Linked DNA regions of Macaca mulatta. The protein of the gene in region 2 interacts with the protein of the main gene of each other region in a biochemical or structural test. Links are inferred from orthologs where the notes say so. Each region holds a gene or a part of one and is shown on either strand. Other genes may lie near its edges.

Region 1 (3,500 bases), on a different chromosome or scaffold from region 2:
TTTGTTTCTTCTAAAATAAATGTTCTCAAGTTAAAGCAAGTATTAGAAGTTACCATTAATTCAAATAATGAACAAATAATGAACTTCAGAATTGCCTTAGGCTGACAATTTCTCCAAGCATTCAAGGGCAGATGTCTCTGTCTGTGTCACATTATATATTAAATGTGTTGGCATGCGCTGAAAGCAGGTGCTAAATCTTTCAGACTGACTCTTCAACACTAGTACTGTAATATTTTTTGTATGGTACAGGGAGTAAATGTAAAAGGAGTAAGAGGAGAGATGGTTGTAGGCTATGGATTCTGGGGTAGGATAACTTCACAGAAAAGATAAGATTTGAGTTGAGCTATGAAGTATGGTTGTATAAAGGTATAGAGTATTCCGGGTTAGAGAATCACATAAACTAAGCTGTCCAGGTGAGATTAAGCATAATAAAAGTACCAGTAAGGTGTTCAGCTCCCTATGCAGCTAGTTCATTCCAAGGGTGTCTGAGGAAAATGTTCAACACAGTGAAATCAGGTTATGGAGGGACTTAAAAGCTAGACAAAAGAATTAAAACATGTAGTAGAAAACATTGCATACTTCTAAGTAGGGGGACAATATGATTAAAGTGGTATTTTAAGAAAATTGTACTGACAGTGATGTGCACAAGACATTGAAGTGGGCAGAACTTGAGACTATACTGAGACAGGGAAGAATAGAGAGAATAGAGAGAATAGGAAGAATAGAGAGTAAGAATAGAGAGAAAGGAAAAAAATCTGAAATCATGGTTTAAAAAAAAAAAAAAAAAGGTGCCCGGGGATGGGGAGGGGGACAGGGTTAGAAACAGTTCCAGGTTTTGGTTTGAGGCTGCAAAGCATATGGAGGAATTTAAGATGATTATATTTTTTAGACTGAGAGAGTAATAATAGCTTTAATAGGAATAGAAGAGTTGAAATGCCTGTTTACGTTCAGTAAGAAGAGTATTCGTTTTATTTGTTTTCTCTTTTTTATACATCATTAGAAGTATACATTAGAAGTAACCCATGCTTATAGAAAAAAAAAAATCAAAGACTGCAGAAGTATGTAGAGTTAAAAGTCAGTCTCCTGCTTCCACCACAGCCCTCCCCTCTACTGCAGCTTCCATCCCCTTCAACTGTTAACCATTGGCTGAATATCCTTCTAGACGTTTCTGTATGCATTACCACACATGCGTCCAATTCTAGCAAGATTTGGATTCTTGTTCATTTTACAGGGTGATTTAATTTCAGACATACTGAGTTTGAAGTGATCAAATTTCAAGATTTCAGTTAAAAAGTCAGGATTTCAGTTAAATCCTTTAGGCTATTGAAAATCGGAAACTGGAATTTTCATAGACATTTTTAAAGATGTAGAGACCTTAAGCTCTGCTAAGGATAGGCATAAGAAAAACTTGCTTTTGTAAAGAAAAAAACTCACTATATCTAACTTTTTATCTTTTTATCTCTGTTTTATGTTGTGTTTTCTAATTACATTTGAAATTTTATAGGTAAATTACCTTTATGACTGGGCATGGTGGTGGTGCACTGGTAGTCCCAGCTACTCGGAAGGCTAAGGTGGGAGGACGGCTTGAGCCTGGGAAGTTAAGGTTGTAGTGAGCCATGATTGCCCTACTGCACTCCAGCCTGGGCAGCAGAGTGAGACCCTGTCTCAAAAAACAAACAAAAACCAAACTTTTATGATCTGAGCCTTCTTTGTAAATATTCTTAGATTTTAAAAATTCATTTAATGGTATAATTCATTCAGTAGGTATTTATTGAGTGCCAGCTATTGTTATTGAGTTCCAGCCACTGTTTAAAATTCCGCAGATGCATCAGGGAACAACAGAGGAAATGTAACAAACATTGATTTTGTCAGCACAGCACACTACTTATTTGATGATTTAAAAAAAAAAGGCCAGGCACATTGGCTCATTCCTGTTATCCCACCACTTTGCGAGGCAGAAGCAGGAGGATTGCTTGAGGCCAGGAGTTCAAAACCAGCCTGAGCAACATAGCAAGAACTCATCTCTACAAAAAAAAAAAATAAATAATAATAATAATAACTAGCAAGGCATGGTGGCATGTGCTTATAGTCCCAGCTACTCGGGAGACTGAGAGGGGAAGATTGCTTGAGCCTAGGAGTTTGAGGCAGCAAGGAGCTGTGATCATACTACGGCACTCCAGCCTGGGCAACAAGCAAGATGCCATCTCCTTTTTTTTTTTTCCCCCCCTGAAACGGAATCTTGCTCTGTTGCCCAGGCTAGAGTGTAGTGGCGTGATCTCGGCTCACTGCAACCTCCGCCTACCAGGTTCGAGCAGTTCTCCTGCCTCAGCCCCCTGAGTAGCTGGGATTACAGGCGTGCGCCACCATGCCCGGCTAATTTTTTTATTTTTAGTAGAGACAGTTTCACCATGTTGGCCAGGCTGGTCTCGAACTCCTGACCTTGTGATCTGCCCGCCTCAGCCTCTCAGTGCTGGGATTACAGGTGTGAGCCACCGCGCCCAGCCAAGATGCCATCTAAAAAAAAAAAGACAAAACACTATTATTATTATTTCTGGGGCATTTTCTGTGTGTCAGGCACTGTTGCAGATGCTTTTGATCATCTGTAAACTACTTTGAAATTTGTTCTATAATATATAAGCTGATCATGAGTGTGATTTTTCTGTGGTGTTCTGGCTAGTTGTCTGATCATATTTAAGCTTGACCTTAATAATCAGCTTAAACATGATTCTGTGATGTTCTATTTAAAATATTAAATTCTTTCCAATAACTAGGTTAAAATGTTTGATTCTGAGCTGCATATTTACTTACTACCTTTTTTAATATTTAAAAATATATTCACGGGATTTCTTCAAATAATTTGATTTGCTTTTGGCTTTGTTTCAGATGGCCGAACAGACCCAGTTTTGGATGATGTTGGTGAAGCTTTCCAGCTGATGGGGGTTAGTCTACATGAACTAGAAGACTATATTCACAACATTGAACCTGTCACCTTCCCACACCAAATTCCGTCATTTCCCGTTAGCAAGAACAATGTACTTCAGTTTCCTCAACCTGGAAGTAAAGATGCAGAGGAAAGAAAAGAATACATTCCTGATTACCTGCCACCCATTGTGTCTTCTCAAGAAGGTTTGTGAGTGTTTCTTCTTCATTTGTTAGGGACTATTTTAATGGATTTTTGATCCTCTTAGCTTTCCATGCTATGCCAACTTTATACATTCTGGAAACACAATAGAAACATGTACTGTTATTTACAAATTATTCGAACCCTTAAACCAACAAACTTGCAACTGACATTACCAGGCCAAGCCATGGTGTAATCAAGGTTATGTCTGAAGCATTTATCTCCTTTGTAAAGTTTGAGTAGAGGAAAACGGTGAAGCCAAAGAGAAGCCTTTCAACAGCCCTATTATATGAGAATGGGGTATTAAGTAAACTAGAAAACCTTTAAAACAAAAAGAAAAATTGGGGTAGCTCTTTCCTCCTCGCTTACTATTCAGGCC
Region 2 (3,295 bases):
ATCTCTCCAAAAAATTTAAAAATTAGCTGGATGTGGTCCCAGCTACTTGGGAGGCTGAGGTAGGAGGGGCCTGGGCAACAGAGCAAGACTGAAAAAAGAAAGAGAGGAGGGGAGGGGAGGGAAGAAGATAAAAAGAAAGGAAAGGAAGGAAGGAAGAAAGGGAGCGAAGAAGGGAGGGAGGGAGAGAGAAAGGAAGGGAGGGAGGGAGAATGGAAGGAAGCAAGTATAGGGCCCACCTCTGCTTCTGGTGAGGGCCTCTGGCTGCTTCTGCTCATGGTGGAAGGTGAAGGGGAACCCATGTGTGTGCAGAGGTCACAGGACTGCACAAGAGAGGAAGCCAGAAAGAGAGGGGAGGGGAGTGCCAGGCTCTTTTCAACAACCAGCTCTTCAGGGAACCAACAGAGTGAGAACTCACCCTAAAGGAGGGCAGGACTCTATTCAGAGGGTGACACCTCCAGGACCCACACACCTCCCACTGAGCCCCGGCTCCAACTTTAGGGATCAAATTTCAGCTTCAGAGTTGGAGGAGATTTGGAAGCTTCCACCTTCTGGTCCTTGATGATAAGAACGTTCCCTTCCTTTTACTATAAGGAGAACATCTTTCATAGGGGAATTCTATTTCTTGCCTTTAAGAAACAACAAGAAATTCAGAATGATCTTCCTACACCTGCCTCTTTTTTTTTTTTTTTTTTTTTTTAAGTGCCTTTATCTCAAAAGAGTTAATATGCCAGAAAGGCATATCTTTACCTTCTTCAGCATCCTAAGGCTCATCTGAGCCATACAGCAAAGGGAGTTCTTTGCAGGTCATAAAAAGTGGAAGACTCCTTTAACTCTGGTTGGATCCCAGAGCTGTATCACTGTGTAAAAGTGGAATGCCGGCTGGGCGCGGTGGCTCACGCCTGTAATCCCAGCATTTTGGGAGGCTGAGGCAGGTGGATCACGAGGTCAGGAGATCGAGATCATCCTGGCTAACATGGTGAAACCCTGTCTCTACTAAAAATACAAAACAAAATTAGCCGGGTGTGGTGGTGGGCGCCTGTAGTCCCAGCTATTTGGGAGGCTGAGGCAGGAGAATTGCCTGAACCCTGGAGGCGGAGCTTGCAGTGAGCCGGGATTGCGCCACTGCACTCCAGCCTGGGTAACAGAGCGAGACTCCGTCTCAAAAAAAAAAAAAAAAAGTGGAATGCCAGCTGGGCCTGGTGGCTCATGCCTGTAATCCCAGCACTTTGGGAGGCCGAGGCAGGTGGATCACCTGAGGTCAGGAGTTTGAGACCAGCCTGGCCAATATGGTGAAAACCCATCTCTTTGTGGTGGATACCTGTAATCCCTGTAATCCCAGTTACTTGGTAGGCTGAGGCAGAAGAATCGCTTGAACCTGGGAGGTAGAGGTTGCAGTGAGCAGAGATCGCGCCATTGCACTCCAGCCTGGGCAACAAGAGTTAAACTCCATCTCAAAAAATTTTTTTAAAATTAATTTTTAAAAAAAGTGGAATGCCGCATGCTGGCTTTCGGAAGGCTCTTCCCACCCAAGTCATGAGGAAGGGAGAAGAGGATTGCTGAGGAGACACGAGGAAGCTTGTGCTGGAGAGAGATGATCTCCACCGCCGTGGCCTACCCGCATCAACCCTTCACAATGCTGGTGCTAGCTCTGGTGGCCACGACCAACAAGCACTAATATAAGGGAGAGGCGGCCGAGTGGCGTGCCCTGTGGACCAATCAGAGAGTAGGGGGCCATCACGCCACCTGAGGCCAGCCAATGAAAACGCGGCAAGCTCTATAAAAGCGGGCAATCAGCTTAGGTCTGGTCAGAGGACACAGCAGAGACAACAGTTTCAAATTCATGGCCCGAACCAAGCAGACTGCGCGCAAGTCGACGGGTGGCAAGGCGCCACGCAAGCAGCTGGCCACTAAGGTGGCTCGCAAGAGCGCACCCGCCACTGGCGGCGTGAAGAAGCCGCACCGCTACCGACCTGGCACAGTGGCGCTTCGCGAGATCCGCCGCTACCAGAAGTCCACTGAGCTGCTAATCCGCAAGCTGCCCTTCCAGCGGCTGGTGCGCGAGATCGCTCAGGACTTTAAGACCGACCTGCGCTTCCAGAGCTCGGCCGTGATGGCGCTGCAGGAGGCGTGCGAGTCTTACCTGGTTGGGCTGTTCGAGGACACCAACCTGTGTGCCATCCACGCCAAACGGGTCACCATCATGCCCAAGGACATCCAGCTGGCACGCCGTATCCGTGGGGAGCGGGCCTAGGAGGGCCATCTCGCCACCTGAGAGGTTGCGCAACGTTCACCCCAAAGGCTCTTTTAAGAGCCACCCACCTGGTCGGAAGAGTTGCTGTAGCAAGCCAGGCTCTTGGGTTTTGGGGGTTCCTTCCGCTGGCCGGTGCTGGCTTACCTAATTCTGATTAGGGTGGGAGGCTGGCGAATCCTGTGTTCACCCTGTCCAGTTAGGAGGCCAGCTACTCATGCGCGTTACCTCCCAGCCTGTCTCCAGTTACAAGTCCAGCTAGTCGTGTGTGGTGCTAACTTGGTCTATCCCTTTAGATAAGAATCATGGTTGGTCTGTTTGGGGACGGGGTGTTGAGGGTAGCGTAACTGGCCTATCTGCAGTTAGGTAAGCAACCCCAGCTAGTTGTGTCAACTCAGCCTATCTACAGTTAGGTTGGAAGGCTGGCTGGTCTTGTGTGTTCTCAGCTCAGCCTCTTTCAAACTGTTACAAGTCCTGCGTGTGTGTGTGTGTGTGTACACACAGCTTCTTTCCAGTGAGGTTACCAGTCCAGCTAGTCTCCTACCTAGACAGCCTGTTAAGGCCAGCAAGTAGTATGTGTTATCTTGGCCTATTTTCAGTTAGAAGTCCAGCTACTTCACCAGCGTGGCAGCTCAGGTCTGTAATCCCAGCACTTTGGGAGGCCAAGGCGGGTGGATCACCTGAGGTCAGGAGTTCCAGACCTGCCTGGCCAACATGGTGAAACCCCATCTCTACTAAAAAGACAAAAATTAGCCAGGTGTGGTGGCACATGCCCGTAATCCCAGCTACTTGGGAGGCTGAGGCAGGAGAACTGCTTGAACCCAGGAGACAGATGTTGCAGTGAGCCAAGATCATGCCACTGCACTCCAGCATGGGCAACAGAGCGAGACTCAGTCTCAAAACCAAAAAAAAAAAAAAAAAAAAAAACAAAGTCCAGCTACTTGTGTGTGTTAACTCAGCCTACCTCCTGTTAATTTAGAAAGCTGGCTAGTTGTATATCTTGTTAACTTGGGCTATCTCCCATTAGGTTAGAAGGCTGGCTAGGGG
Region 3 (3,494 bases), on a different chromosome or scaffold from region 2:
CTGGAGAATTATTTTGAGACACCACACGTTCACCGCTTACATGGTAGAATGTCTGGGATTTGTACTAAAATAACAGAAGGAGCCCATGAACAAGGAAGTTCCTGCAGCAGGGACAGGAAGGAACCTGGGGGCGCCACGCTCTTCACATCTGAAAGCTCCTGTTAGTTTGTAAGGCATACCGTGGAAGATACTCCCCAGCACGGTGGTGGCAGCAGGACTTTGGAGGACCTCTCCTCATCTGTGCCTACCTGCCTAACACTGTCAGTAATTAGCACACAGATATATACCTAAGAGTGGAAAAATCAATACAAAATACATAGAATAATTAGCACAAAGAGATGACTTTCCTACGGTTACCGTAAAAACCCAGGGCTGTCCTGTGGGGCACACTGGCACACCAGACACTACCCCCACCACCAGGGACAAAGCCCCAGGGCGGCCGCCCTCCCACCCCACAGAGACAGCTACGTTTGAAGTTAAGAAATTCTCACAGGACAAAATTAGAAGACATGAAAATTTTTATTTTCAAAAAGAATGTATTTTTACATAAATCTACAACAGAATTCAAATGTAGAAAAAATAAACTATATTCAGGGATACAGCGCTCAGCACAGCACACCCCCTCCCCGGAGTGGGCCATCCTCCCCAGAACAAGACTGAAGGAGGCTCGCCGCCCCCAGGACCCCCACAGCAGGGCAGCCGCAGGCTGGCACACGGAGCTTCCCGAGTCTGTCACAACAGACTGCAAATGTGAGGCGCCCAGACCCTGAGCGTCGAAGACAAAAACCAACCCATTTTCACTGTGGTAACTCACTTCTTAGCGCAGGTCACTCATCCGTACACCTCATCAGAAACAGACGGGCAAGGGAAACCACAGGACATACATCTCCAGATGCCTCGGATAATCCCCTCCTCACCTCTGCCACTGCAGGACCCCCAGGAGAGCCCACCTGACAACCCCCGCTTCCTCCCTGGGCCAGTGCAACCAAAAACCTGCAGGATTCACCCAGGACTCCAGGCCCTGAGAGGCAGAGCCGGCTGGGCTCCCCCAGGACTCCAGGCCCTGAGAGAGGAAGAGTTGGCTGGGCTCCGGGGCCAGGGCCCTCTGTAGACCCAGGACCCAAGCGGGCTTCCCAGAGCATCACAGCCTACACCACCCCAAAGCGCTGCCCCGTGGGACAGACCCAGGCGCCCGTGCCCTCGGCCACCCTGCTCCGCCCTGTGTGGCAGCCCTCACCACAACGGTCTCCACGGAGCTCAGGTTTCAGCCTCGCTCCCCAGAGGTGCCAGCTTGGCCTCCACTGTAAACTGCTGTGCAGGTGAGCACCAGGAAGCCGCACCGCCAGGAGCACAGAGGGGTGGGCGGGCGAGTGAGGGTTCCGGCAAGGACAGTGAGGCTTGCGCTTAGCACCCAACCCCTCGAGGATGCCGAAGGGCAGCGCTGGCCCTGCAGCCCTCATAGGGCGCATCAGTCCCACTGGCATCTGACCTGGAGTGAAGGGCTCAGGGAGCGTTCCCATGCCACAGGCATCCTCCACATCCCAACGGGAGCCCATCAGGAGCTTGGCTCCTTCGCAACTAAGAACCTCCCCACCCCCGCTCCTCCCCCAGCAACACTGAACAGTGAACCTAGAGAGGAAGGCGGCTTCAGAGAGCAGGCGCAGCCAGCCTCAGCACCACCTTTCCGAAGAAACCTTCCGCCCTCTTGCCCCAGGGGAGCCTTTCTCCAAGAAAGCCACATGGAGACGAGCTTCACAAGGACTCACTTGCCACAACCATTCACAAAACCCCACCTTTTATTACAGTCTGTGGTGCTGCTTGTTGCAGGGACACTGAGACAAACAGGAGCGTCGTGCGCAACGACTGTGCTGTCGACGTGTGGCCCACAAGCTCCCGAGACACAAACGGCTCTTTACACGGAAAACCACCACACAATGCTGCTTTCCAGAAAGACAGAAACACACTAGCAACGGCTACTGGCGGGAACGGAGGAGTCAGGGCCCGAGGCCAAAGGGGAGGCCAGCTGGCGGGGCCACGGTGGCGGTGACGGCGTGCACTGGGTCATGGAATATCAAAAAGATACAGAACGTTTACTGAAAAAACACAACGCATGTTAAATTGAACTTCACCCTTTTGTAATAAAAAATTAAAAATTTTTGTTGACTCTGTTTGAACACAATAGACTAGGAACTCTTCCCTAGACAGTGTTAGAATTGGCAAGAAATGTCACCAGCAACTTTTAGAACTTTCCGGTGGTCCACACCTTCCGCTCGGCCAAATCATCTTCAAAGAGGAGGCTCGATCAGGCCCTGTCCTGACCCCCAGGCGCAGACCCTGGGGACCACCTCCAAGACACCATGTTTCTTGCCAATCCGGGTCAACGTCCCGACAGTCCCTCGCGGGCAGGCGCAAAGGGACTTAGCAGTCACTCTTCCACAGTTTAATTGTTTTGTCATTTTCTAGCGCAGCAGAGGCAATGATGTTTTCTGTTGGGTGACAGGCTGTTGAGATCACAACATCTGAAAACAAAGACACAGTCAGAAACAGCCATCCCTGTGCCCTGGGTGCCATCCCAGACTGAGCTCCACCTCTCCCCAGAAACGCTGGTAGCTCCTGCACACCACCCGGGAGGTCTCAGGACAAGCAGCTGCTGCCCACCCTCGACACAGGGAGCCCAGGGGAGGGGAGCGAGGGGACAGCAGCTGGTACCAGGGCGACACAGCCGGTTGGGGGGCAGGGGCAGGAGGCCACAGGGAGTGTCAGCCCTGCCTGCAGACCAGGAGCCCCGCATGCCCCTACTAGCAGCAGCTCGGCACCCACAGGGAGGAGCGTGGCAGCAGGACTGGCTCAGAGGCCAGCGCGCACAAGGACCCCAGTCAGACCCCTCACGGTCCTCAGTCCTTTATCGACAATGTCCCTCTTTTACTCGGACCCTGAGCTGCCCACTCCCGCCACCTCCCACCAATGCTGAGCCTCAGAGCGCTCCACAGGGCTGGCTCTGTCACAGCGAGGACAAGTCCACCACCCGAGCAGGGCAGTCAGATCTAACAGGCTGGTGCAAGGTCGGCCACATCAAATCACAGTTTACAACTTCTACATAAACCAAAGAAACCCCAGAACACCGGTGAGGACCCGGAGGAAGGCCCAGGCCCGCCGTGGAACATGAGTGCTGACCCCAGGCTGGGTGAAGCTGCTCGAGCAGAGGGAGAAGCAGCACCTCCCCCAGTTTCCACAAGGGCTTGCCCCCCCCATGCTCTCATTGGCCCCATGAGACATGGAAATGCAGGGCCAGAGGGTGAGGAAGCAGTGGTGGCTGCAGAGGGCAGCCAGGACCCAGGGAGGGGCAACCCCAGGTCGCTTGGGAACCAGCACCGCTGTGGAGCCCACTAGGCCTGCATGCAGCAGGGGTCTCTCTGGGAGAGGGAACAGGTAATCGAAAGGAGCCAGAGCCTCCAGGATGGGGCAGCGATGACCTCACTGTCCCCGGCCCAGGA
Region 4 (4,070 bases), on a different chromosome or scaffold from region 2:
AAATGAACACTTTCAGCCGGGCATGGTGTCTCATGCCTATAATCCCAGCACTTTGGGAAGCCAAGGCGGGCAAAGTGCTTGGGCTCAGGAGTTCGAGAACAGCCTGGGCAACAAGGTGAAACCCTGTCTCTACAAAGAATAAAAAAAATAATAATAATAGTGTACTGGTGCATGCCTGTAGCCCCAGCTAGTCAGGAGGCTGATGTAGGAGGATCACCTGAGCCCAGGGAGATTGAGTCTGCAGTGAGCTACAATCATGCCACTGCACTCCAGCCTGCAGGCAGTGTGAGACCCTGTTTCAAAAAAAAAAAAAAAAAAAAAAGGCCTTAAAATAAATTTTCTATTTCTCTTGTTTGGTCATGAAAGTGACCAGAAAACACTCAAATCTCAAACTTTGGAAGTGGTGCTACATCTCACCCATGGAAATTTGAAAAGATCAAAAACATCAATGCAGGCCACATATGCTCATGGTTTTAGACAAAACCAAAACTTCAGGAAAGTTTTCAGATATTAAAGCTACAGCAGGCAGCAGGAAGTCTTTAAGAGGTGCTGGTAATGATAACCCAATAAACAAATGTTAAAATAAAGCCAGGACAGAAACACTGAGTTGACACAGTTCCTGCATGAGCCCACTTTGGCTGCAAAACGCCAAGGCCACCAAGTAATTGACCTTGCTTTTTTTTTTTTCATAGGTTTTGGGGGAACAGGTGGTGTTTGATTACATAAATTCTTGAGTGGTGATCTGTGAGATTTTGGTGTATCCATCACCCAAGCAGTATGCCCTGAACTCACGACCTTGTTCTTAATTCTGTACCTAGCTCTCCCTTCTGCCTACTACAGTCAGTGGCCTGTTCTCATTCATCTAATGCCCTTCATGATCAACTCCTGGGCTTGCACCTTTCAAAAAGCACACTCCCCACTTCATCTTTTTTGCATTCCTTCTTCAGAAATAACCACACGGCATTATTATTTGTTTCTGTCTTTTCTGCTAAATTCAACGGGGACAAATAATATACTGTCCAGGTCTGAATTGGAATGTGGTCTGTGGACTAGCGTAGTGCCACTTGGGAGTTCGTCAGAAATGCAAACTCTTAGCTTCCACCTCAGACCACCTGATTCAGAATCAGCATTTTAACCAGCTTCCCCAGGAGATTCCCATGCACATGAAAGTTTGAGGAGCACTGGGCTAGATCCCACATTCACTCAACAAATATTTATCGAACCAGTATAGGATACAGAGGTGCTCAACATAAACATGAGGATACGGTGTGGAAAAAGAGCAAGCACAGACATTCCATTGTGACTAAGAAGCTCCTGTAAGTACTAAGAAGAGTATAACCCAGATGTTCCAGTAGAATAAATAATAGTTATATCAAAATTCAGAAGTGGCCACTGCAGCTTGGTTGTGGGAATTGGGAATCCGGAATCTGGGAACTTGACCCTCTTTGCAGCAGGCAGGAAGAATACAGGGAGGTGTGTGAGTGTGTGTGAGTGTGTCTCTTCCCTGCCTCTGCCACAGGCCGCAGGAGCTGACAAGGCCAAGTCCCCGCCCCCCTCAGCTGTCACCCTGTCAAAACAAAGCCGCTGCTGACAGCGCAGGGCCAGCCTGCCCCGCGGCCTCGGGCAATCCTCCCACCTCGGGAGCACGGCCCCCACATCTGGATCTGCAGCTGGGGATGACAGGGTGCCTAAACTGGCACGGAGAGTGGGTAGCAAGAAATGGGTGTCCTCAAACCAAGCAGTAGCGTCCGCGGCGCTGGGCTGTCACCTTGCCAAATCCTGTTTACACCTCGAGCAGCTGGGACAGCGTTTTAACTAAACAAGTAATAATACAATAATGACAGGGCTGTCACTGCGCGCGGCAGCGCCTCCGCCCCCAGCCGAGGGCGTCAGGCGCCACAAGACCCTCGCCTCGGGCTCTGCCCACCTTCGCACCCCGCGCTTTCCTCCCCTTCGCTTTCCCAAAGCGCCAGGAGTCCGGGAGTCTTCTCCACCCCGACTCCTTGCACCCAGTTCCTCCCAGTGGGACACGGGAAGGGATCGACTGCAGAAGGGACCACTCAGTCCCCCAAAAGATGTTTCCCTGCCCCTGGGTCGCCCACCACATGGAGAGCACCGCTCCACTCCCGCGAAAGTGACTCCAGCGAGCTCCTACAGAGCAACAAAACCCCAGAGTAGCCCGGGAGCTCGGATTCCGAAGCTACTCCTTTCAAGCGGAAGGAATGAAGGGCTCTCCGTCTTAGTGATCCCCTTCTTCAAACCCAGCAGGACTCTTATCCAAGAAGAAGCTAATTGGGCTCGGGCGACAAGAGCACTTCCGCGGTGCAGCGGCCCCAGGCGGGAGGCGGGAGGCGAGAGGCAGAAGGCAGAAGGCGGGAGGCGGAGGTGGAAGCGGGAGGGGGAGGGGGGTCCCGCGGGCTGGGCCCCTAGCACCCATCCGCGGTCCGAGAACGGCGAGCGCGTACCTTGCAGGCGGAGTACACTCCGAGTTTCTCCAGTTTCTTGGCCCGCGGAGCGGAGCGTAGTTGCGCCTTCTTCACGGCGATTCGGGCCGAGCCACCGCCTCCCGGTCCTTCGGCCGTGCCCGCTGCAGCCACTGCCGTTGCCGGACCGCAGGCGCCCGAGCCCCCGGCAGCAGCGGCGCAGGGGGAGCCCTGCGGGGGCGCGGGCGGCAGCACCACGGGCTGCGGGGGCAGCGCCCCGGGCCCGGCCCCTGCCCCGGCTCCTGCCCCGCAGCCGCCCGGCCCGGCCCCGCCAGCCTCGGACATGCCGCCCCGGAGCACGGCAGGAGGCGCCGAGTGTCAGGCGCCGCCGCCGCCGCCAGGGTCTCCCTCTCGGGCTCTGGTCGTCGGGAGAGCGAGACCCTCCCCCCACGCCCTCCCGCCCCCTTCGCCCACCCCCCTCCCCGCCCCCGCCCTCCCCCTCGCGCGCCGCTCGCCGGGCTAGCTCCGGCCGGGCCCCGCGAGCTGATGGTGGCGGCGGCGGCGGCGGCGGCAGCTGCTCCCCCAGGAGGGAGGGGACTAGCGGCTCCGCTGCCGCTGCCGCTGCCGCTGCCGCTGCCACCGCCGCCACAGCACACGCCCTTCCTTGGTTATCCTGCCCGGGACTCTGCTCCGCGCCCTGGCTGCGGACATGTTCCTCGGGGCTGCGGACTGGGTGTGCGTGCGGGCGGGTGCCAGCCTCGCAGTGTGTGCCGGGGCCGGGAGGCCCCCCACGGCTTCTTTTCCGCTGCCCGCGAGGTTTGCACCCCCCACCCCAGTGCCTCGACACCTACTGCTCGCCCGCCAGGGGGCGAGGCCAATCCCTGGGTGTGGGTGAGGGTGGGGACGAGGGTGGGGGTAGGGGACTGGAGCCCAGGCACCTGCTGGCCACCTCCCCCCTCCGCGGCCCCCCATCCGACCCCCGCACGCCCGCACCAGTGGGAGGGGGCCGCCTCTCAGTCATTTGTCCTTCCACTCTCTTCCACCCTGTCTCTGAGCAGAGACAACTTCCTCCACCCTAGCGGGAGCCAGAGGAAAAAAAAAATATTTTTGAAAAGTACCCGTCCATGCTAATCCTTTTCTTTGTTGCTAATTCACCAAAATAAAAGCGTGATGTTTTCCCTTTCTCTTTTTAAATACTTTCTGTCAAACTATGTTTTAATATAATTAACACTTTCTTCCTATAGCAATTTGTGGGTCAAATCTGCCAGAGGAGGGGGAAAAAACTTACTATTCCCTGTACTTTTTGTTTGAAAGTGCTGGTTGCTAAAAGAACGATTGTCTAAAAGCATTGTCAAAATAAAAACTATGTGCAGTGGAAAAAGTTTGAATACAAAAAGTTTGTTAACAGGACTCGTTTCTGGGTGGTGGTTCTATCACGTTACGTAGTTTTCAAAATTGTACCACCAGCGTGCATATTAACCAGGAAAAAGATATAAGCATCATTCAAAAGAATAAATACCGATTTTGGCCTCAAACTTAAAAAAAAAAAAAAAAGAAAAAAAAAAACCCTCAACTCAGTTTTCAACTCTTGTTGAAAACTGTTGTTTTCTCTGTTGATGACTGTGGAGCATACATGTCAGTGCTGCG
Region 5 (4,222 bases), on a different chromosome or scaffold from region 2:
CTCAGCCTCCCAAGTAGCTGGGATTACAGGCGCGTGCCACCGTGCCGGGCTAATTTTTGTATATTTAGTAGAGACGGTGTTTCACCATTTTGGCCAGGCTGGTCTTGAACTCCTGACTTTGTGATCCACCCGCCTCAGCCTCCCAAAGTGCTGGGATTACAGGTGTGAGCCACCGCCCCCGGGGAAGAGGGTCATAGCTTTCATAAGGGTCATAAAGGATTTAGGCCTCCCCTTCTGCAGAGATTAAGTTCTTCAGACCAGGGAAGAAAGAGGTGACTGGATTATTTTGCAGAGAAAGCTGGAGCCCAAGGGGAGGGAGACAGGAATTGGAAAAGGGTAGGGATGGGGGAGGAGATGCCAGATCAGCCCTGAGAACCTCTTTACCCGTCTCAAAGACTTAGGACACTAATGGGAAAGACTGGGCTAACTTCTGCCCTTCCCCACTGTCTGCCCAGGGACACCTGGGAAAGGACAAATAGGAGCTGAATCCTTCACTGAAGGCCCCGTCAACGTATCTATGGGTTGGGCGTTAGGAACGGCCTGGCCCCACAAATCACATAACTGGGGTGTAGAACAAAATGGTTCCAGAGATGCTACCAGGCTGGTCCAGGACCGATGCAGGCCAGAACCCCGCGGGGAGGACTCCCCAGAACAGGCACTGAGCTGAGGAAAGGCAGAACACGTGGTCTGCTACTGACTCCACCAGATCTTCTGGGACTCTGGGCAGCTCCGGAGTACTGCTAAGTCCCCAAACCGGGTCTACAGGTCTTAGACCACACTCGTGAGGCCACTTGCCTCAGAGCCTTCGGGGGGGTCTTAGGAGGCAGGCAGGAAGGTCTCCTTCTAGGCCATTCTAGGAGGGGACTGGAGAGCAGAGGTTAGACCGGAGGGTAGGGGTAACCTGATCTTACAGTCCAGAAGCCACGAGACTAGTCGCCTGGCCTTGCGCCCCGCCCCACTGCAGGGTGGAAAGCCTGTCCCACTCCAGTCACCCAGATCAATAACGCCCTCCACCGTGGGTCTCCTGGGCCCCAGAAATCGTTCCCTCTTTCCCTCGCCTGGGCACTGCCACGCGGTCTGGGGAACCCGTAGTCTATCGACGGGTCTGGCCCGGGGTTTGCCCTGCCCGTTAGCCCAGGAGGATAGACAGACACGGGGAACTGGTGTTCCCCTAGTGATTTCAAGGCTCATTAACTGTCTCCGACCCGTCCCGAAAGCAAGCAACTCCACCGCTTCTCTTCAAAGCTCTGCAACGAAGGACTAGGTCCAAGGACCGCAGGCGGAGGCGGGAATTGTCAAGATCCCAGGTTACGGAATGGCACCGAGTCGGTGACCAAAGGAAGCAGGAACCCGGGTGTTCAAGGCAGTCCTCCAGGGCGGCGCGGGGGCTAGGCTGAGGCCACTCCCTTCCACTTCCTCGACGCTATTTCCTGGGAGGAGTTGGAGCTGGCGGCCCAGAGCCAAGGGACTCCCAGACCCGTGCTCCAAAATACTAGGCTTGGGGGAGGCTGGTTCCTGAGCGGCGCCAGGACCGTTCTGCCATGCATAGTGGACCCGGCACTACAGCTAGCCTGGCACGACCTCTAGGGCGGTTCGCAACGGCATTCGTACGTCGGCTCGTTGGTCTAGGGGTATGATTCTCGCTTCGGGTGCGAGAGGTCCCGGGTTCAAATCCCGGACGAGCCCTCCTTTACGTTTTGCTGAAATAAGAGTGTCTTCAAGGAATGTGTTACCTGACCAGCGCTGCAGGAGGCTTCACTGGAAATCATCAATGTACAGTAAGCTCTTTTGTGGCACCGGGGTAACAGAAAGAATCTCAGTCCCCAGACCCGCCTGGCATGTCAGGAAGAGACGAGGCACGCCCAGACTTGGGCAGGACGCTCCCTTTCTGCTTCTTGACTTCCTGCGTGGTGTCTCAACTCCGCCACTACAGCCTGGTTTCGGTTTGATTGACACCCATCAATCTATAGTTGTGGATGACAGTGTTCGGGAGAGCCCAGGAACTGTCAGAACTTGGTTCTCTGCAGCCCTGGAGGTACTCTGTCTCTTTCGGTCACTCCGTCTGACGATGGGTGCCTGAAATACACCTACAGTTTCTGGTCGGCTTTTCTCGGTGGTCGGAAGAACAGAACCCTTAGGAACTCTGCTGTCAGCAAGCCGAGTGTAAAGTCCCAGATCAAGGATTTGGAGACGACCATTGACGGGTCACTCCTCGTTAGTATAGTGGTGAGTATCCCCGCCTGTCACGCGGAAGACCGGGGTTCCATTCCCCGAGGGGGAGAATCCAAATGATTTTGCTTTCATTAAATCCGTCCTGGCCCCTGGGATGGAGCTAGAAAAAAGAGGGAAAGGAGGAGGGGAGGAAAGTTTGGCCTACCTCTCCAGCTCGCATTCTAAGTTTCCATTTTAGTTCAAGCAACTTGGAGTTCAAACGTGTACCTAAAGTGGCCACTATCTCCTCCGCTCAATATGTTCATTAGTGCTCAAACTTGATCTAGCTTGCTCCCTCCTTGACGGCAGTGCGCATTTCCAGTCTCTGCTTGAACCTGGGCAAGCAGCCATTTGGCCCCCGGCTGTCCAGGGTGCAGAGCCCGGGCTTTTGTTTCCTTTCACCTCCCTGCGTTTTGTGGATTCGCACTGCGATCCGGGAACAGTAGGCAACCCCGGGCCGAAATTCCGACAGGCTGCTCTCACCTGGAGGGGCTTGCAGGGCGCATCCGCCAGGAGCGCGGTGGTCCGGCAGTGGTCGCAGGTGTAGCGGAAAGCGGGTTCTTTCGGAGAGGACGGTTCCTCAGGAAAACCTCACGAAAATCCTCAACGATGGTGGGGCCCAGAAAACACGAGAAAGAAAAGAGGGAAAAAAAAAAATTCAAAATGCACTTGCGTTGGCCGGGAATCGAACCCGGGTCAACTGCTTGGAAGGCAGCTATGCTCACCACTATACCACCAACGCTTAGGTACTGCTGTTTTCTTTCATACCTCATGTTGATTGCGGTGAGTCGCGTTGGACCCGTGCGGAGCCAGGGAAACAGCATCAGCGAGATCCAGGTAAAAGTAATGGCTGCTGTCGTCTGCCCGGCGCAATTGTGCGTGACCTTTACCGCTAGTGCGCGCCACCCCACATGAACCTGTAGGGTTATGCCCAGTCTACAGACGAGGAAACCAAGGTCCAAAGAAGTTGAGTCACCGGCAGAGCTGGGATTACATCTAAGATCTCTCCAGGGGGCGAGAACTGCAGCGGCATCATGATGATTTATCATCTCCAGAAAAAAAAAAAAAAAAGAGTCCTAGACGCATAAAAATCGCTTCTCTGTAGAGTGGGCTCAATGAGCTCAATGTGATTCAAGTTAAGGAACTGGGCCCTAAGTCAAATGCGCCTAAACACAATTTGCCTCTTTATTATTTATTCAGATTCCTACGTACGTGCGCCCACATCTCGTCAGCTGGTGCCTCGCAGAAATGCGCTGACAAATCTTAAAGATACGGCTTCATGACAAAAGTCCTCCCCTTATTGCTGTTCAAGAGACCCCTCAAGTCACCCTCTCGGGCAGGCCTCGTGGCGCAACGGTAGCGCGTCTGACTCCAGATCAGAAGGTTGCGTGTTCAAATCACGTCGGGGTCAAACCAAACATTGTTTTCCCTAATCAAATAGATTTACGGTGACATTTTTAGGGACAGGACAAAAAAAACCTCCTCAGTAGAAGGATAGGAGGGGAATGAGACAAATGTGAACGTTATTCAGAAGTTGGGTACAATTTCAGTTGGGTACAGACTTTCAGCACTATGTGATATATCCCTGAGGCAAAACTGCACATGTACCCCTAAAGTCTATAAAAGTAAAAATAAATTTAAAAATTAAAAAAATTACTGTTGTATGGAAATTTTTTAAGAATTTTTTTCAATTATTATTGTTTGTTTGTATCTTTTTTCCCTTGAGATGGAGTTTCTCTTTTGTTGCCTAGGCTGGAATGCAATGGCACTATTTCAGCTCACCGCAACCTCCAGCCATGGGTTCAAAAGGATTCTCCTGCCTCAGCGTCCCGAGTAGCTGGGATTACAGGCATGCACCACCACGCCCGGCTAATTTTGTATTTTTAGTAGAGAGGGGGTGTCTCCATATTGGTCAGGCTGGTCTCGAACTCCCAACCTCTGGTGATCCGCCCGCCTGGGCCTCCCAAAGTGCTGGGATTACAGGTGTGAGCCACCGTGCCCAGCCTTTTTA
Region 6 (2,797 bases), on a different chromosome or scaffold from region 2:
TGCTCTGGCCAATGCCAGATGTGGTATTTAATCCTATTACAGGCCGGGCGTGGTGGCTCATGCCTGTAATCCCACTTTGGGAGGCTGAGGCAGGTGGATCACCTGAGGTCAGGAGTTCAAGATGAGCCTGGCCAATATCTTTCGTAAAGATGGCAAAACCCCATCTCTACTAAAAATATAAAAATTAGCCGGGCGTGGTGGTGTGCACCTACAATCCTAGCTACTAGGGGAGGCTGAGGCAGGAAAATCGCTTGAACCCAGGAGGCGGAGGTTGTGGTGAGCCGAGATCACGCCACTGTACTCCAGCCTGGGCAACAGAGTGAGACTCCATCTCAAAAAAAAAAAAAAAAAAAAAAAAAAGTCCTATGACAAAGCCAGGATTTCTCCGTGGGTTCTTATCAGCTGGGATATGGCTTTTGGAGGAGTGTGGTATCTTCTCTTCCCTCAGAGAATCTAGATAGCCTCTCTTCCTTCAGAGAATCTAGAGAGTCATGCTTTTGGGGGCCTTGCCCAGATGTTCAGATGTGATCGGTTAAGTCCATTGACCTTACTTTTGACATACACGAATCCCAAGAGGGAATTTTCAACAGGAGAGGATGTCACTCTGAGGATGTCACTTAACATAAAATTGCCAGTAAATGCTGCTTGGGCCACATTTTCGTTGTTCCCTAGCCAATTTTATAAAATTACTATTTTTAAAGCACTATCCCCTGGGTTAGTGCTTAGGATAGACCACCAGCACCTGGTCTCAAAGTCTCTCTTTGCTTTATTCTGCAGGAAAAACTCTGATGAGGCTGACCTGGTCCCTGCCAAGGAAGCCAATGTCAAGTGCCCACAGGTTGTCATATCCTTCTATGAGGAAAGGCTGACGTGGCATTCCTACCCCTCGGAGGATGATGACAAAAAAGATGACAAGAATTAACGCTCCTGAGTACCAGCCCCTGTCACATCTGACTGGGTTTCAAGTGGGAAGGGAAGGAGTTCTACTTGTCTTGACACCATAGAGGTGGCTTGAGAAGATGTCCTTTGAAGAGCCAGTATAGTTTCTGTGCCCTGCAGCAGCCCAAGTGCTTTAAAGCCGTTTCAAGCTGTATAGTTTGCACACCCATCCCAGTGGAGGGGAAAGGGGATAAGTGTTTCAAGGCAACCTTTTCTGCACTTTGCTGAGAAAAGCAAAGGGCCTTCTATGAAGGACAAAACTTGCAGAATTGGGTGTGTGGGAGAGCAAAAAAATACTGTAGATCTTCAAAGAGCATCTCCACAACCCACAGCCTTCTTCCCAATAGTGTTAACTCTGCATTTTTACAGCGTAGCATGTGTGTAGTCTTTGGCTATTACTGGTGTATTATTTGGGGGAGGGATGGGGAGGGGAGAAAGGGAGATGGGTAGCATCACTTTGATTAACATTTGGGGCCTGATAGGGGAAATGGTGAAGCAATGGAAAAGAACAGACAACTAATGATTTGCTTCTATGTCCAGAATATTTTACCTTAAAAAAAAAAAAAAAAAAGTCATTGGCACCATAAATAAGGACTGTGAGAGACTGTTTAAAAGCTGTGAATGTCTGAAACCTATAAGCCAAGGTGTTCCCTGCCTAAACTTATTGCTGTTCCCACAAAGGACTAAGCCAGTTCATAAGTTACCAAAGTTGCCATTTTGGAGATGGAAATTGATGAGGAGGGAGGAAAGTCTTTTATTGGAGAGTATACAGTACAAGCAGATCATTCTGTCTCAGAGGTGCTAATAAAATTAGAAGACCCTTTCTTTTCCAGTAACGAAGTTATAAATATCAGCTTGTTCATCCAAGCCACTGGCTGAGGTGTTAGGGAAGAGGAAGAGGGTGGTAGAGGAGATAAGACAGTAGGGAAAGACAAGGGCCCTTGCTCTTAGTGGGGAAACCTCTTGGAGCCGTTCTCTTTTTTGAGCTTTGAACTCTGAAACCATTGTTGGCTTCAGTCACTGACAGCACAAGTTTCACTGAATTGATCTAAGAGTTTAGTGATTTCAAAAGCCTTGGTCTCAGGAGAAGATTAAACTTCCATATTGGGCAGTGGTTCACTTTAAAACACACACACACACACACAATTTTTTAAGAAATCCTAAGAAGTAACTGATACCCAAAATGCTCTGTCTTGAGTCATGAGATCCATCAGTTTTTGATATTGTCTAGACTTGCATCTAGAGCTACATTGTAAAATCCTTTTAGGCATGTGTTAGATTTCTGTGTAAACTTTGTTTAAATGTAAACTTCATACTACACTGTCAGTTTTTGTCTTAATAAAACTATAGATTTATAATCCCTGATTTCTGTCTTAAGTCTTACCAGGAACTCTTCTTGCCTTATAGGTTCAGCCTGTTGGAAATGGCTTCCTCACTTGGATGGTTTTATTTCTTGAACACTGTAGGCTTGAAAATCTAGTGTCTGGCCTGAATCTTTAAGTGGTCGCACCATATTAATTTAGTAAATACTTAATAGGCATTTATCAGGTGCTGCAGAGATTGTAAAGATGGTCGCATCATGCTGTCTTCAGTATTGCCAAAAGTTTATTGAGCACTCTGACCTGACAGCACTTCCAAACTATGGTACATTTGGAAACATGGGTTTTTAAGTTAGGTTTAGATCCTGCCTCTGGTATGTAATAGATTATATGACCTAAAATCTACTTCACCAAAATTTTCCAGGAATTGGCCCCGTGTTTGAGCACTGACTTAAAATGTCATTTTTTGCCTATGATTTTTTTTTTCCTTTGTGAGACAGGGTCTTGCACTGTCACCCAGGCTGGAGTACAGTGGTGTG
Region 7 (4,078 bases), on a different chromosome or scaffold from region 2:
AGCATTGTTCTCTTTTTCACAGAGGAAAAACTGCCTTTAAGAAACAAGCCGGCAATACTTGACAAAAATATCTACCATTTAAGCACAGAGCCAAAAACAAGGAGTAGTCTCCCGGGCGCTGGAAGTATTTTGAAATCCCCAAAGTCTCATTCATTGTTCAGAAAGCAAAATGGAACTACTTTTTTTTTTGCTCCCTCCTCCCCTCCATGCAGTAGCTGTTCTTGGCAGGTGCCCAGAGTGGCACCCGGTAATTCCACGGTACATTGTGTACATTTGCATCTATTTAATCGGCTATTTACAGTCGTCCTTTACCGCCACCTGTAAGAGGCAGCGCCATAATGACACTAAGTGGCTGGGCCGGAAGCCGGGTGCCCAGTGGTTTTCTCCACTTGAGGACGCCTGAATCTGTGAAGTGGTTGGCACTTGGAGAAACAGGGAGACAGCTGGGGACATCGCACTTACAGGGCGGGAGGCGCGGGAAAGAGGCGCGCCAGACGGAGGGTCCTTCCTTCCTCGTTAGCTCCACTCGGCGGCTCCTTTTCAATTACCACAGCCGCGAGAAGGAACCTGCCGAGCCTTCGGTGCGGCTTGTTTCCTGCCTGACAGAGAGCCCGCTGCCATTTGGATTTGATGCATTTCTGAATCACCCGAGGGCCTGGCGACCCGAAGGAGGGCGGGGAGTGGGGGCGCTGGGGTGGACCCGCCATCCTGCGGAATCCGGGCCAGATAACAGCCCCCGAGCTCGGGAAATCGGCTTGCGGATGCGATGCGGGACCGCGAGGACACCTGCGCTCCGGTGCGTGTCGCACTCGTGCAGCTCCCGGTGGCGAACGGGGTGATGTGGGGGCGAGGGTGAGAGGAAGTCCAGGCGCCAGAGCGTCAGAAACGCTTCCTTAGCTTCCCTGGCACTTTGGAGGTTGTCTCGAGGGGGCACGGACAGTGCACGGCGGACTTTCAAGTTGCTCCCGGCACAACTGGAGGCCGGGAGCTCGGAGCCCCCACGGGCCGTCCAAGTGTCCGGAAGAAGCCTGCAGCGCCCGGGACCGCGTTGCGCGCTCGGGGCGCGCCAAGCCGCGCCTAAGCAAAGGAGAAACGCTCACGGGCCAGAGGCGGGTTGGCTGGGACGCGGAATACGCTCGGCCCCGGAGCTCCTTTCGTTTTAAGGAGCCTTACTTCTGGAAAGGGACAGGGAACTGTCAATCAGCGAGGGAGGGAGCGCACCGGCGCTGGGTGATGTCAGCGGATCAGCTGCTCGATAACAAAGAGGGGGTATTACAGGAGAAAGTTGCAGCAGCTGCAGCGGCCAAGGCGACACACCGGAGCCTCCGAGGCGAGGGGCAAGTGGGCGAAGGGAGGGGGGACGACGGCTGCTGCCGCAGCAGCTGAAGGCCAAGGAATTGAAAGGGCTGTAGGGGGAGGCAGTGCGAGCCAGCCCCGACTGCTCCTCCTCTTCCTCCTCCTCCTCCAAACTCGCGAGCCCCAGAGCTCGCTCAGCAGCCAGGAGCACCCGGAGGGACGGGAGGCAGCCGCGCAGCCCCGAGCTGGGCAGGGTCCCCAGCCGCCATGGATAGCGACGACGAGATGGTGGAGGAGGCGGTGGAAGGTACAAGCATTTCTCCAGGGCCGGGGGAGGAGGCGCAGAGGGCCCGGAGCGCGGAAGGAGTGGCGGGCTGCAAGCGGCGCGGCGCCGGGCCCCGCGGCCGCCACTGTCCCTTACACGGGTGGCCGGCTGCCCGGCTCGGGCGGGGGCCCGACAGCCACGGTCACGCCGCCGGGAGCGCGCACTGCGCGGCGGGGCGCAGGCCGAGAATGGGGCTCTGCCAGGCCGGGGGCGCTGGAAAGGCACGGCCGCGCCATCCCGCCCGGCCACAGCCTGCATCCACCCTCGGAGTTGCGAAACCTGCCCCGCGCTCTGGCCTTTCCTCCTTTGGGCGCGGAGGGTGGGTGCACTCCTCAGGGCAGCCGCTTGAGGCCGGCGGACTCCGCGGAGCAATCCCCTAGCCCAGTTTTGGCCACCCGGATTCCCTCCCGGCCGCCAGCCCTTTTCTTCTGCTGCCTCTGCGCCCAGCGGCGGCCGCGGCCGCGTCCGGGTAGGTCCCCCGGCGCAGCGCACGGGGCCAGACCGGGCACGTGGCAGCCGCGGCCCAGGCGGTAGCGCTTCCGAAAAGATGAAATCATTGTCGGGCGACTGACAAGGCTCCCGACCCGGGACTCGAACGCGCGCCGTCCGGGAGGCGGGCGGCCCTCCCCTCCGCTGCCCCCGAGCGAACTCAGTCAGGCCTCCCCCTCCCCCTTCCTGCTTCGCCGGGGTGCAGCCGCCACGCTGTGCAGGCGCGCCGCGAGCCCGCACCGAAATTGCTGGGTGACACTTAACTTTCTGAATTCCATGCCGTTGGCTGTGGGTGATATCACCGCCTCGGTGTCGTGTTTCTCCGCCCCTTCTCTTCTACCGCCCCTCCCCCGACTTTTCTCGCCACTTTGTTTTGCTGAGTTTCTCCACCTTTTTTTTTTTTTTTTTTTTTTTTTGCTAGTTCTGAAAAAACGATGTGGGGACGTTATACAATCTCGTTGTTTGTATCATGGGATGTTATGATTTTGTAACAGCGAATACTGGAAAATACTCTTTAGTGTATTTATTTGGTTCCACTACATACAGTACGTCGTGATGTTTTTCAGTGTGGTGTGGTATGATACCAGAATGTTTTAAACCAAGCATGTGAGTAAATAATTTTTAGCTGTTTGTTGAATCTGGTTTCTGTCCGATTTGTATAAACACAAGTTCTGACGAAAGATAAAGAAAAAAGTGGCAACACTACAAATGCGTAAGGATACATGGTTGTTGTTACATTGGGAAAAATCAGTTTTAATGTTTTCATAAACATAATTCCCTTTGCAGTGCTTCTGAGGTCTTAAGGGGAGATTAAGCAGACTAACATTTCTGAACTCTTGAAAAGTATTCAATGTAATGCCAATATTAAAACTTATTTCTTCATCTAACTTCGAAGCCAATTAAAGAGTGTGTGGTTTTTGTTAAGAACATTTTCACCATGTTGTGAACTCACAGAGCTATTTATCTCTCTAATAAATAAAGCCCATGTTGGGGCTGACTGGAGCCCAGATACATTGATTGAGTTGATCCACAGGGAGCCTTCTCAGAAGTTAAAAGTTGTTGACTTCTTGTGCCTCCATGTTGTGAAAGATAAAGGAAAAATGATCCCAGGATTGTTAGGGTTTGCTTTCTTTCTTCAACATTTACTTTTACTTGTAAAAATTAAATACAAACCCTTGATTGCTGGTACTGTTCTCCGTGTTAAACCACATTCATTCCCCTTTGAAGCTGTTTACAAACATATGTCCAGTTGTCCACAGTCCTCAGGCTCCTTTGCAGACTGTGACCAAGAGCTTTAGAAATGTATCAGTATTGTTTCTGTGAGACTGTCCACTGGATTCGAAAACAGGGAAGTTTACATAAACAGGGATGGTTTTGTTTTATAGGGTAATCATCCACATTATTGTCCAAAATCAGAGCCCCCTTGAGAATGAGGGGCTATTAATAATGATGCTGGGACAAGTAGCTTAAGCCTTGAATGTCTGGGGCAACCTGGGACACATGGTCACTCAGTTGTAGGTAACTAAACAATTAGAGCAGCACAGAATCTTTAAAAGCCCAAGAAGCATCTCAGGCTCTAACTTGCACAGTGCCAGGAGTGTGTATGTGCACATGCAGTAAACTGTACCTGTGCCATGCACTCTTGTCCAGCCATTCTTGGCCTTGTGAGTGCTGTTTGCAATAGTCTTTACATAACATCTAACACTTACACAGGGGACTGGTATAAACTGCTTCTGCTCTTTCCCAAAGAGAAGCTAGTCTGAATATCTTAGTGTTTAAGTACCAACTAATCTACCTCTTTCCATAAACAGAGCCTCTGTTCTCAGTAGTTTCACTGTCATAGCTATTATTATCGTTGCTATAATTGTTTAGTTCTTATTAAGTGCAGGCTGTGTGCTAAGTGTTTCACAGACATTATCCATTCAGTCCTATTCAGTCTTATGAGGTGGGTACTAATATTATCCTAAT

Evidence for each region.
Region 1: the proteins of H3-4 (region 2) and TAF3 form a complex in vitro, tested with the Homo sapiens proteins (2 studies listed by BioGRID, with this or other methods). The link is inferred for Macaca mulatta from reciprocal best matches to the Homo sapiens genes H3-4 and TAF3.
Region 3: the proteins of H3-4 (region 2) and WDR5 form a complex in vitro, tested with the Homo sapiens proteins (4 studies listed by BioGRID, with this or other methods). The link is inferred for Macaca mulatta from reciprocal best matches to the Homo sapiens genes H3-4 and WDR5.
Region 4: of the proteins of H3-4 (region 2) and KAT2B, one has a biochemical effect on the other in vitro, tested with the Homo sapiens proteins (2 studies listed by BioGRID). The link is inferred for Macaca mulatta from reciprocal best matches to the Homo sapiens genes H3-4 and KAT2B.
Region 5: of the proteins of H3-4 (region 2) and AURKB, one has a biochemical effect on the other in vitro, tested with the Homo sapiens proteins (4 studies listed by BioGRID and IntAct). The link is inferred for Macaca mulatta from reciprocal best matches to the Homo sapiens genes H3-4 and AURKB.
Region 6: the proteins of H3-4 (region 2) and CBX1 interact in a test that uses a peptide from one of them, tested with the Homo sapiens proteins (3 studies listed by BioGRID). The link is inferred for Macaca mulatta from reciprocal best matches to the Homo sapiens genes H3-4 and CBX1.
Region 7: of the proteins of H3-4 (region 2) and SETD7, one has a biochemical effect on the other in vitro, tested with the Homo sapiens proteins (2 studies listed by BioGRID). The link is inferred for Macaca mulatta from reciprocal best matches to the Homo sapiens genes H3-4 and SETD7.

Annotation. Positions count from the first base shown.
Region 1 is NC_133414.1:9,321,854-9,325,353, forward strand, and holds part of TAF3 (transcription initiation factor TFIID subunit 3), read left to right. Parts: intron 1-2,883; coding exon 2,884-3,126; intron 3,127-3,500. UniProt on the Homo sapiens protein: The TFIID basal transcription factor complex plays a major role in the initiation of RNA polymerase II (Pol II)-dependent transcription.
Region 2 is NC_133406.1:86,178,103-86,181,397, reverse strand, and holds H3-4 (histone H3.1), read left to right. Parts: upstream 1-1,126; 5' UTR 1,127-1,840; coding exon 1,841-2,251; 3' UTR 2,252-2,795; downstream 2,796-3,295. UniProt on the Homo sapiens protein: Core component of nucleosome. Nucleosomes wrap and compact DNA into chromatin, limiting DNA accessibility to the cellular machineries which require DNA as a template.
Region 3 is NC_133420.1:8,352,649-8,356,142, forward strand, and holds the end of WDR5 (WD repeat-containing protein 5), read right to left. Parts: intron 2,520-3,494; coding exon 2,419-2,519; 3' UTR 501-2,418; downstream 1-500.
Region 4 is NC_133407.1:28,522,432-28,526,501, forward strand, and holds the start of KAT2B (histone acetyltransferase KAT2B), read right to left. Parts: upstream 2,801-4,070; 5' UTR 2,769-2,800; coding exon 2,466-2,768; intron 1-2,465. UniProt on the Homo sapiens protein: Functions as a histone acetyltransferase (HAT) to promote transcriptional activation. Has significant histone acetyltransferase activity with core histones (H3 and H4), and also with nucleosome core particles.
Region 5 is NC_133421.1:9,727,390-9,731,611, reverse strand, and holds the start of AURKB (aurora kinase B), read left to right. Parts: upstream 1-1,422; 5' UTR 1,423-2,226; intron 2,227-2,881; exon of another isoform or gene 2,882-2,953; intron 2,954-3,411; exon of another isoform or gene 3,412-3,622; intron 3,623-4,222. UniProt on the Homo sapiens protein: Serine/threonine-protein kinase component of the chromosomal passenger complex (CPC), a complex that acts as a key regulator of mitosis.
Region 6 is NC_133421.1:61,951,877-61,954,673, forward strand, and holds the end of CBX1 (chromobox protein homolog 1), read left to right. Parts: intron 1-777; coding exon 778-922; 3' UTR 923-2,297; downstream 2,298-2,797. UniProt on the Homo sapiens protein: Component of heterochromatin. Recognizes and binds histone H3 tails methylated at 'Lys-9', leading to epigenetic repression. Interaction with lamin B receptor (LBR) can contribute to the association of the heterochromatin with the inner nuclear membrane.
Region 7 is NC_133410.1:148,441,242-148,445,319, reverse strand, and holds the start of SETD7 (histone-lysine N-methyltransferase SETD7), read left to right. Parts: upstream 1-1,278; 5' UTR 1,279-1,563; coding exon 1,564-1,603; intron 1,604-4,078. UniProt on the Homo sapiens protein: Histone methyltransferase that specifically monomethylates 'Lys-4' of histone H3. H3 'Lys-4' methylation represents a specific tag for epigenetic transcriptional activation.